Linked DNA regions of Callithrix jacchus. The protein of the gene in region 1 purifies or fractionates together with the protein of each later gene. This does not show direct contact. Links are inferred from orthologs where the notes say so. Each region holds a gene or a part of one and is shown on either strand. Other genes may lie near its edges.

The links.
Region 2: the proteins of DYRK1B (region 1) and DCAF7 purify together in Homo sapiens (affinity purification with mass spectrometry; 10 studies listed by BioGRID and IntAct, counting the BioPlex papers as one, with this or other methods). This does not show direct contact. The link is inferred for Callithrix jacchus from reciprocal best matches to the Homo sapiens genes DYRK1B and DCAF7.
Region 3: the proteins of DYRK1B (region 1) and FAM117B purify together in Homo sapiens (affinity purification with mass spectrometry; 3 studies listed by BioGRID and IntAct, counting the BioPlex papers as one, with this or other methods). This does not show direct contact. The link is inferred for Callithrix jacchus from reciprocal best matches to the Homo sapiens genes DYRK1B and FAM117B.

What each region holds. Positions count from the first base shown.
Region 1 is NC_133523.1:35,101,293-35,104,191, forward strand, and holds part of DYRK1B (dual specificity tyrosine-phosphorylation-regulated kinase 1B), read left to right. Parts: coding exon 1-138; intron 139-470; coding exon 471-618; intron 619-1,811; coding exon 1,812-2,098; intron 2,099-2,714; coding exon 2,715-2,861; intron 2,862-2,899.
Region 2 is NC_133506.1:88,827,606-88,831,710, forward strand, and holds the start of DCAF7 (DDB1- and CUL4-associated factor 7), read left to right. Parts: upstream 1-1,201; 5' UTR 1,202-1,430; coding exon 1,431-1,568; intron 1,569-4,105. UniProt on the Homo sapiens protein: Involved in craniofacial development. Acts upstream of the EDN1 pathway and is required for formation of the upper jaw equivalent, the palatoquadrate. The activity required for EDN1 pathway function differs between the first and second arches.
Region 3 is NC_133507.1:123,777,759-123,781,948, forward strand, and holds the start of FAM117B (protein FAM117B), read left to right. Parts: upstream 1-1,354; 5' UTR 1,355-1,364; coding exon 1,365-2,172; intron 2,173-4,190.

The DNA.
Region 1 (2,899 bases):
TCCAGCACCAAGAAGGAGAAGAAGGTCCTGAACCATGGTTATGATGACGACAACCATGACTACATTGTGCGCAGTGGCGAGCGCTGGCTGGAGCGCTACGAGATTGACTCGCTCATTGGCAAAGGCTCCTTTGGCCAGGTGTGGGACACCCCCCTCCCACCCTGATCCTGGGCCCCACTAACGTCGACCACACACCCAAGGGTTCAGTGGCTTCAAGTCGTCCCATGCTGGGCCGCTCACCTGTGCCTCAGCTGCCTTTTCTGTAAAATAGTTCAAATAACAAGGTGCAACATAAGGTGGTTACGTTATTTCACGTCCAGTGTTTACACCAGTGCCTGACTAATGGTGCGCACTCAACTGTGAAGTATTCATAGTGTTACCAGTGTGTCTCCTTGCCTGGAGGGAGAAGAATGGTGCTTGGCTCTGTCCTGCCCCCACCCCTTCCTTTGTGACACGCCCTTCCCCAACAGGTGGTGAAAGCTTATGACCATCAGACCCAGGAACTCGTGGCTATCAAGATCATCAAGAACAAAAAGGCCTTTCTGAACCAGGCCCAGATTGAGCTGCGGCTGCTGGAGCTGATGAACCAGCATGACACGGAGATGAAGTACTACATAGGTGAGGCCTGGGCACCTGGGATAGCGGAAGCTGGAGCTGGTAGGGATGGGTCACCCTCCTGGCCCACCCTCAGGAGGAAGCTGGTGTCTTCAGAGCAGGGTTTGGTCTGTGCTTCACTGACATCAGTGATTCTCCTGCTGCTTTGATCATTGTTGTCCTATTTACTTGCTCATGATCAGAGGTTACTGAGTGCTCACCAAGGGCCAGGCTCTCTTAGAAGCACTTTATGTAAGTTAACTCACCACAGCCCATAAGGGGAAAGGCATTATTGCCCACATCTTGAAGGTAAGAAACCTGGGCTTCCATTCTAGTTCTTAAATTAAAAAAAAAAAAAAAAAATGGCAGGTGCAGTGCCTCATGCCTGTAATCCCAACACTTTGGGAGGCCAAGGTAGGAGGACCACGAGGTCAAGAGATCAAGAACATCCTGATCAACATGGTGGAACCCTGTCTCTACTAAAAATACAAAACCATTAGCTGGGCGTGGTGGTGTGCCCTTGTAGTCCCAGCTACTTGGGAGGCTGAGGCAGGGGAATTGCTTGAACCTGGGAGGTGGAAGTTGCAGTGAGCTGATATCACACCACTGCACTCCAGGCCTGGCGAAAGTGCGGGACTCTGTCTCAAAAAAAAAGTGAAGAAAGAAAAAAAGGAACCCAGGCATTCAAGTGCTATCACTTGCATGAGGTGGCAGTTTGTACTCATTGAGCTGTATGATTTAATGAGGCCGTGGACTCCAGAGCTGTTACTCTTAACATCTATCTATGCCAGTCTTTTCTCTTAAACTGATTTCCTCCTCGTGGACATAAACATCACATAGCATAATCATAAGCAGCAAGTAGATTTTAAAATTGTTTTGTTTGAAAGGAAAACATACATTCTTAAAGTAAATGGAAAACCAATCTCCTTTGCCACAAAAATGAATACAACCGAGATGAGAGCAGTGTTAGGAAACGAAACGAGGAAGTGTAGCGAAACTCTCTTTGGTAATTGGAAGGTTTCATAGAGACTTGGAAAGAGAACTAACTTCCTTTGTGAATCTAGTTGTTAGATAAAGAGATCGTGACTGGCAGATGGTACCCATGGGCACAGCACAATGTGGCTGGTCCTCTAAGAACATCATGTGACCCCAGGCCACCACCTGCCCTCTCTGAGCCGTTTCTTCTCTGTTGACCCATTTCCTCCCTTCCCTCACAGTGCACCTGAAGCGGCACTTCATGTTCCGGAACCACCTGTGCCTGGTGTTTGAGCTGCTGTCCTACAACCTGTACGACCTCCTGCGCAACACCCACTTCCGTGGCGTCTCGCTGAACCTAACTCGGAAGCTGGCGCAGCAGCTCTGTACGGCCCTGCTCTTTCTGGCCACGCCTGAGCTCAGCATCATTCATTGCGACCTCAAGCCTGAAAACATCTTGCTCTGCAACCCCAAGCGCAGTGCCATCAAGATCGTGGACTTTGGCAGCTCCTGCCAGCTTGGCCAGAGGGTATGGGTTGGCCCTGTCCTGGGGGCAGGGCTTGTGATTTGGGTGGGGCAGGGCCAGTGGGGAGGCTTAGGGGCGGGGCTAGGCTGGGATGGGATTATTAGGAGCTGCTGGAAGTAGGATAGTGCTTGGGGTGGGGGTGGGGGTATACTGCCAGCTACGATGGGAAGAGTGAAGCCTGAGGGGACAGGGCCCATTTTGAAGCTGCCAGATGTGAGCAGGGTGAAGTTGGGTTGGGTTAGAGCCAGGGGGGCTGCTTGGATAAGTTTTTGTATCCTGTGTTCTTAAAGCTGGGGATGGAGGTGGAAGGCTTCAACTTTGCAGCTCCATGTGAGCTGCTGATGAAAGGGCTTATGGAATGTCAGCCTTTGCCTGGTGATCCAGAAGGGCCCAGGGTCAGGGTTGGGGGTGGAGATCAAGGTCTGTCTAGGCCAGCAGACTCCCCAGGCTGGTAAAGAAGATTGGCTCCCAGAAAATTGGTGCTCACAATGGCAGGATTTGGAGCCTCAGTCCCCAGTTTGGCAGCAAGAGGCCTATCCTCTGTTGGGTCCTCAGCTTTGGGGATGTCAGTGGGACCAGTAAGGGAGGCTGGGACCCTTGACGATTGCCCTTTCCCCAGATCTACCAGTATATCCAGAGCCGCTTCTACCGCTCGCCTGAGGTGCTCCTGGGCACACCCTACGACCTGGCCATTGACATGTGGTCCCTGGGCTGCATCCTTGTGGAAATGCACACCGGAGAGCCCCTCTTCAGTGGCTCCAATGAGGTGTGCACCCAGGAAGGGGTGTGCTGGAGGTGGAGGGG
Region 2 (4,105 bases), on another chromosome or scaffold:
GTGGCCAGAATGGTGGCTCAATCCTGTAATCCCAGCACTTTGAGATGCTGATGTGGGAGGACCGCTTGAGCCCAGGAGTTCGAGACCAGCCTGGGCAACATGGAGAGATCTCATCTCTACAAATAGTAATTTAAAAATAGCTAGTTGTGGGGGCGAACGTCTGTGGTTCTAGCTACTCTAGAGGCTAAAGTCGGAATCGTTTGAGCCTAGGCTGTGAAGGATACAGCCCTTATCCCACCAGTGCACTCCAGCCTGGGTGACAGGGCGAGACCCTGTCTTTAAAATATATATATATATATTTAATGTCCCACAATTCGATACAAACCTCCTTCAATTTTGATGAAAGCTAAGAATTGGAAACCATTTATAAAGGTTACTTGGTCTCAGGCCCTTCTCCCTCTCAAACACATAAGCACAGATACCTTTGGGGCTGGATTAGCATTTGCGTTGGGATCCACGGCGGGGAGGTAACAGGATAGGAACCAACAAAAACATAACCAAGCTGGTCTCGTTGATGCCTACCCTAGAATTCGGGGACATTCCTAGATCCTACAGGAAAGCGCCGGAGCGCCTGACTCAAGCTGGCCTGACCCTTGGCGCATCTGCACGCCCGAAGCCTGTCCCTGGGGCACGAAGAGAGCAGCTTTCGGGTTAAAGGGGCCGCGGGACCAGAGGGAGCGGGAAGGTGGTTCCCGCTGGGCACTGACCAGACTGCCAGGCCGCGGGGCTAGGTCCCGCAACATTCAGAAGAACTGTACTAAGGCAGAACTGTACTTTTACTCGACAGCGTGGAGAGGCCGCTTAGAACAGCGGCAGCAGAGGGGAAGTCGGCTCAGGTCACAGATGGCTTCACTCTCGGAGACTTGGCCTAGAACTTGGAGGCCCGCCGCCCCCGCGCACGCTCGCTTCAGGTCACCCACTCCCCACCGCAGACCCTGCGCCGTTATCTGCCTGACTGACAGCCTGGCCAGCCAATGACCTTTGGGGCTGCCAAAGCCCCTGCCTCCAAGAGTTAGGCGGGGCGAGTAGGTGCAATGACAAACATTTAACCCAATAGCGAAGAGCTTTTAGACGCTACGGCCGCAACAACCAATGAGAAGAAAGAACCCTTTCGAAAGGACGTGTGAGGCAACCAACTGCTGGTGCCGCTGCGGGGGTCCTGTGGCTTCCGTTCCGAGAGGGCGGGGCGGCGTCCCAAAACGGAAGGTGGTTGTCGTCTGTGCCCAAGCTGGTTTGAAACTAGGGGTCGGGCTCGGCCGTCGTCGTTGTTTGTTGTCGCAGCTCCGCTTCCGGGGGTAGGCCGTTCCTGACCGCCTCCTCCGCTACTCCCTTTGGACCCATCGGTCTCAGGCCCGGCTCCCCGCCCGACTCGTACCCCGCACGCCGCAGCCCGCTGTTGACCCGGCCCGCACTGCTGCCCTGCAGCCACCATGTCCCTGCACGGCAAACGGAAGGAGATCTACAAGTATGAAGCGCCCTGGACTGTCTACGCGATGAACTGGAGTGTGCGGCCCGATAAGCGCTTTCGCTTGGCTCTGGGCAGCTTCGTGGAGGAGTACAACAACAAGGTGGGCCGGGCAGGGGCTCGGAACCCAGCTGGCGGGGAGCGGGCCCCGGGAGCGCCCTTTCCGGGCCGGAGCCCAGGCCCCAGAACCCTCTTACGGACTTGCCTTAGAGGCACGGAGCGGTTCCTCTGTCTCGCCCAGTGTTGAAGGTTTCGTATTCGTTGTCTGTCATGTAATCCAGACAGCATTTTTGTGTAGTCGACAGTGTAGTGGGGCAGCTGAGGTACGGTTTTGTAACTTGCCTGGGTCACGCAGCTATTTCGTGGTGGAAACAGGTCTAAACCCACGCCGTTTATTCCTCCCGTGCCCTCCACTCCTGCAGCATTGCTTTCGTTGGTGGGCGGGGAAGGAAAGAGGCAGTGATAGCTGTGAAGGAAAATGCAGGCGCTTCCATTGATGGTCGTGCACTCGTGGCCACACTACATTTCTATTAAGGCGATTTATTGTACAGGCTTCCCCGCCCCTTACTCCCACCCCCCGGTACTCATGTATCCTAGCCCTTCTGCCAAAATTACTGTTGTCCTTGATTCCTGATACGCATTCTCTCTAAAGCAATCTCTTTGGAAATCTTGGCCTGTGGCATGATCCCGCCATTGTTTCCTGAACAGAGAAGGATGACAGGGCCTTATCTCTTGGTTTGTTTCATGCTAGTACAGTTGTGTAACTTGTAGTAGTAAGTCTTGCTGGACATCCATCAATTTGAGAATGCTTTATAGAAGCATGGTGTAGAGGGGAGCTTTTAAACTGGCATTGCAATGTTATTTTTGAAAGTTGAATAAGTGGCAAGAATTTTCTTTCCTTTCTGTCTTCCTTTTATTCAGTTACAGTTGTGAATGATAGCGATCAGAGCCACTGAAAGCCGTGACTAGTGATACTTAAAGCTACTACTCCTGCTCTGTGCCATGAACATCAGATTTAAGAAGAATGAAACCGTGTTCAGTGACAAGGCTGATGCAGGGGGAAAAAAGCCAGGTGGTCTAGGAGCGGGTCCCATCTGGTTATTGACTAGCTGTGAGGTGTTGCACAGGCCTGTTTTATTATCTGTGACCCACAGTTTGCTGTAGGAAAGGGATTCTGGTTTACATGTGAAGGTCTTGTAAAAAAAAAAATTTGAACATTTTACAGTTTGTTTACAGTTTTTCAGGAGCACATTTGTGTCTCGGAGTAGGTCGTCTTTGGAGTCCCCTTTGAGAAGCTGATGAAAGCGATGGACTCTCACTGTCTGTACATTACACATACATGAACAATTTACAAACAAATCCCAAGGAATATGCACTGATCTTTAAATCCACCCACTTTATTTGCTATCTCTGATGCTTCTTTCTTCCTTATGGCCCATAGTGGACAGCAGAACTGGGAATGGGATTCAAGGTTCTGATGTGGACACCGGGTTAGTAAAAGTAAGACCACTAGAACTATTGTTTAAGGATACACGTGGAAAATAAAAAAGCACGTCTTTTAAAGGGCTTGAGTCTTTTCACACAAATTAATGTTTTTTTCTTGTAAGTTTTTCCAGGGTCATTGGGTAAACAATAGTCCCATTTCCCAGAGAGGAGAAACTGAGCCACAGTTAGGCTGCTGGTAGAATCAGTGGATTAATTGGTGTCAAACTGCCATTGCGGGAACTCTACCCCAAAGTTTGTCCTTTCATTTAGCAACTATCTGAAGCTTTCTCTTTGCGCCAGGCACACAGGTAGCGTGGCTTAGTAGTGAAATGCAAACTAATAATGCCAGTATCAACAGCATAAGCAATTAACTGTATCTTAACTCAAATGATATAGCCAATGGTCATCTGATACCAATAGACCCCTTCTCACAGTTCTATTTTCAAATGCATGAAACACATAGAGTTACAAAAGAAACCACTTACATTGCGCTACAGATGTAAACGTTTTTTAAAAGTGGCGATGTAGTCATATGTACTTTTAATAAATTAACTCATTGATTTATACCGTCCAGTGTAATTGTTAACATAATTTTGAAGTGGTGACAAGGGTTACCAGGTTTTCAAGATGTTGAACAATGGCTCCGTGATGGGGAAAAAATATTTCTCTTGCTGGCAAAGTCACAGGTACTCATGCCACTGTGAGTAGCTAACCCTATTTGTAATTGAAACAAAAAATTTTAGCTAGAGGTTAATGGAAATATGAGTGTACTTCTCCAATTCAAGTTCACAGACCCCAAGTTAAGAAACCCTGCGAGAGAGGATTGTGTCTAGTGGCTGGTGAGCAGCAAATCCTGCCTTAAAGCAGTGATTCTCAGGCTAAGTTTGTGAGAAACCCTGCCAGAGAGGTAGCCGACTTCATAATTTGAAGGAACTTTAGAATTATTGGTTGGAATTTTTAGACCATCGGTTCCTGCTTGCCATGGATAGTGATTGCCAGCAGAGGACGAAGTAAATGGGCACAGCAAATTAACATTGATGAAAAAGGCTAGAAATGGTCATCTTTTTAGTGTGGAGACATTCACTAAGAAAACATGGTTATAATTTTTAAAATTTGGTATTAACATAATCATGTTTTCCTAATGTAAAATTGTTC
Region 3 (4,190 bases), on another chromosome or scaffold:
TGTGGTCTCTGAATCACATGGGGACTGTGGAAGTGCTGACCACCTTCTACACACCACATTCTTATATAATCCTTAGTTAATAATCATAACAACAGTATGAAGCACATGGTATTGTTTAACTGCATTTTACAGATAAGGAGACTGGCTAGTGACCTACCCAAGGTCACAGAGTAAGTGGCCGGACGTGGGATTTGAATTTCCTCTCTGGGTTTTTAAAAGCCTTCCACCACTGCGCACAGGGACCCAGTAGGATTTCACGTCCAGAGAATCATACTGTGCCCTCCACTCTCACAGTTTTACACGACGAAATCTGTCTAGCATGTACAACTAATAAAAACAGTAGAGGAAAAAGACGTCATGAGTAGGCAATTTATAGCCAGAGAGGTGGGAGTGCAGGTTTTGGGTCCACCATTTTTTTTTTGTCTTGATGAGCACTTTAGGTCATTTTAGTACTAGTGTCACTGCCTGCCTTCCTGAGTCTTTGCCACAACAAAGACTTGTTTCCTACACTAGACAAAAATATGGATGGCTGACCCAGTTCTGTCTCAAACAATGATCATAAGAATCAAATAAGGCCATCTGTAAACTATAGCACTTTACAAACTGGTAAGGTAGCAGCCATATTTCCAAAGTATCAGGGAACAGTGAAGCAGCTGATTAAAATAAAGTCTTGATTACTTGAGATACAGGAGGGTAGAAATAACGTGGTAACTGAACTCTATAGATACTATCTAAAATCGCATTCTAACAGGCAAGTTTAATCTTTCTGAGATTTGCCTCTTCCTAGAGCTTTAAAAAATAAGAAGATGGGTGTAAAATGCCAGTAAGATTAAATTTCTTCTCCTTTTGAGCCCTACCCATAGGTAGAATTAGGGCAGAACAAAAAGATTAAGAATAAAAGCCCGAAGGAGAGGCCCGTACATGTGACTACACAGTGAATACTGGGGTAAGGAAATGAGTTACTCGGAAAAGCCTTCAGATTATCCCTGCGGACTCCTCCGGGTCTGGACATTCCCTTTGTCAACCTTCCAGAGTCTGAGTCCCCAGGGCTCCCCACAGCGGGAAGGGAAAGGCGCGCGTGTCTAGGCGCGCGCGTACACGGGCACTCACGTGTACACACACACGCGCGCACACTACACATACACACACGGCCCGTTTCCTCTGCTCCCTCCCCGCGGGGGGCGGGTCTCTTTCTCTTTAAAGAGCAGACCGTCTCCGCGCACACCCAGGCTCTCAAGGCCTCCGGGGCCCGGGACCCGAGCTGCTCGCAGCCAATGGGAGTCGTGGAGCGGCTCGAGCGCGGCTGACGCTGCACCAATGGTTGCTCGCGGGGGGCGGGGGCAGCCGAGGAGACACTATTGTTGATGAGGAGCCGCGGCGGCGGCTGCACCACCTCGTTGCTGCCGGTCTGGGCCCCGGCCCAGTCGCCCCCCGCACCTCGGAGTCCAGCTTCGTCACCCCGTCGCGGGGGCCTGCCCAGCGGCCTCGAGAATCCTACCCCTGCAGCCCAACAACAACAAAACCCCCCGTCTCGCCCAGTCACCGGGGAGGGGGGGACCATGTCCCAGCGGGTGAGGCGCAATGGGTCCCCCACGCCGGCCGGCTCCCTTGGGGGTGGTGCGGTCGCCACGGCCGGGGGACCCGGGAGCCGCTTGCAGCCCATGAGGGCGACGGTTCCGTTCCAGCTGAAGCAGCAGCAGCAGCAGCAGCAGCAGCAACATGGCAGCCCCACGCGGAGCGGCGGCGGCGGCAGCGGCGGCAACAACAACGGTGGTTGCTGTGGTGGCGCCTCAGGCCCCGCAGGCGGCGGCAGCGGCGGCGGCCCGCGCACCGCCTCGCGCAGCACCAGCCCCACGCGCGGCGGCGGGAACGTGGCCGCGCGCACCAGCCCCACGGTGGCCACGCAGACGGGCGCGTCCGCGACGTCCACGCGAGGCACCAGCCCCACGCGCGGCGCTGCGCCCGGCGCTCGCGGGAGCCCCCCACGGCCGCCGCCGCCGCCGCCGTTGCTTGGTACCGTGTCGTCGCCCAGCTCGTCGCCCACCCACCTGTGGACCAGCGAGGTGAGCGCGGCCCCACCCCCAGCCCGCGTCCGGCATCGGAGGAGGTCTCCGGAGCAGAGCCGAAGTTCGCCGGAGAAGAGGAGCCCCAGCGCCCCGGTTTGCAAAGCAGGTAAGTGCTGGGTGTCGCGCAGCCTGGGGGAGGCGGCGGCGGGAAGGGGTCCCGGGCGCGCGCTGCCATCGCGCGGGGACTGCAGCGCTGCCGCTGAGCCTGGGTGGCTGGGGGCGGGGCTGGGGGCGGTGCCGAGCGGTGGGGACCGGGCAGTGTGGCCCCACCTTTCCCGGGCCTGCCTGGTGCCCCGTTTGCCCGCCTCATTCATCCCTTCGTCCGCCCCGCGCGGCTCCCCGGCGGTAGAGTTGCAGACGCTAAACCTTGGGCTTGGGCTGATGAGTGTTAATGATAAACCTGGCGTCCTGGCCTTTCGCTCATTACTGCTCACCCTCCATCGAGAGTGAGGCTAGTAGTGGTTTGTCATTTTGTTTGAGGGACAAGGTTAATTTTGACATAACCCATGTCTGCTGCTTCTATATATTTCTGTTCACAAAACAGTCTCAGATCTGGGGTCCTGAATGCATTAGCAGTGGCAGGTTTGAATCACTGAACAGACGAGGCTGAGACCCGTGTTTGAGCATTTCCCAAGACTTGATAAATGGGTAGCAAGAAGTGAGAATTAAGCAAGATTTCTTAGGAAGGTTTATGGGTTTTGTCTGAGGCTCTGGGTGTATTTCTGATTTTGTGTACTGATTTTTTGTTTTGAACGTAGAAAAACAGAATCCAGTGTTTGTCTCCATCTTGTTATTGTTTTAGGGAGCTAACATTCGTTGTTTTTCTGTTTTCCTGGAAGCTTTCTTGGGAAAAATCCTGAATGGAGCTATTGAGTGCCCATGCAGTCATTCATAAAGAGTAACTCAAAAGAGAAATTCAGATTGGGTGAAATGGAAAGGGATAACATTTACCATCTTGTTGCCTTGAGAAAAGAAAGGGGTGGTTTTTAGTTATATATTCATTTTTGTCAACATATATCTTTGTCTTTCCCTGTCTGGGGAACTCCTGTTAGAATCTTCCAGGCAGAATGGTTGGAAATTTGAGGAAACGAATTCAGTTGAAATAGTTTCCGAAATGGAAATAGTAGGATGACTCTATTTATTTTATGAAAGGTTTTAAATAATACTATTTTGGAGAGAATTGCCCTGGAAAATGATGAATAGTATTTTCTTTTTTTTTTTGAGGCAGAGTCTTTGTCACCAGGCTGGAGTGCAGTTATGCTCATTGCAACCTCTGCCTCCCGGGTTCAAACGCTTCTCCAGCCTCAGCCTCCCGAGTAGCTGGGATTACAGGTGACCACCACCATGGACGGCTAATTTTTGTGCTTTTAGTAGAGTTGGGGTTTCACCATGTTGGCCAGGCTGATCTGGAACTCCTGACTTCAGGTGGTCCTCCCGCCTCGGCCTCCCAAAATTCTGGGATTACAGGTGTGAGCCACTGCTCCTGACCTAGAGCAGTTTTGAACCTTTCGAGAATGCAGAATCCTTTTCTAAAACTGTGATAAAAGTACTAGACTTCCTCTTCCGGCTTCATAACCTCTGTCACCTACTGAACAAGTACTATATGGCAGGTGGTTTTTATGCAGAATCTCATTTAACCCTCACTGTAGCTTTTAAAGAGGTTAACAAGTGGCAGAGTTAATATTTATTTGAACTCTGGTCAGTTGTACTCCAAAGACGATGTTTTTATATTATATGAAGAAAGTGACATCATGATGTGTAAGATAGAACCTGGGAAATGTATAGCACGCCAAAATTACATGTACTTAGTTAAGATGTACTTAGACATCTAATGAACAAAACTGCTTCAGTCCTTCAGCCTTCTGGAGCCAGCATAGTACATTAGGTGGAAGGGAAAGAGAGCTGCTTATAAGTGAGCACTAGAGGTGACAGAAGGAGGCACAACCCGCAGCCTGGTGACAGAATGTGGCTCTCTTAACAACTGTTTGATATTGGGAGAAACACGCTGAGAACTGGGTCAAGTATTAGCAACTTGTGGTGGAAGGTACTCTTTCCCTCTGATCTCTAGGAGGGCTCTGTTTCCTGGGATCTGAGGCTACTCTTGTGCCCACTCTTCATTTTTTG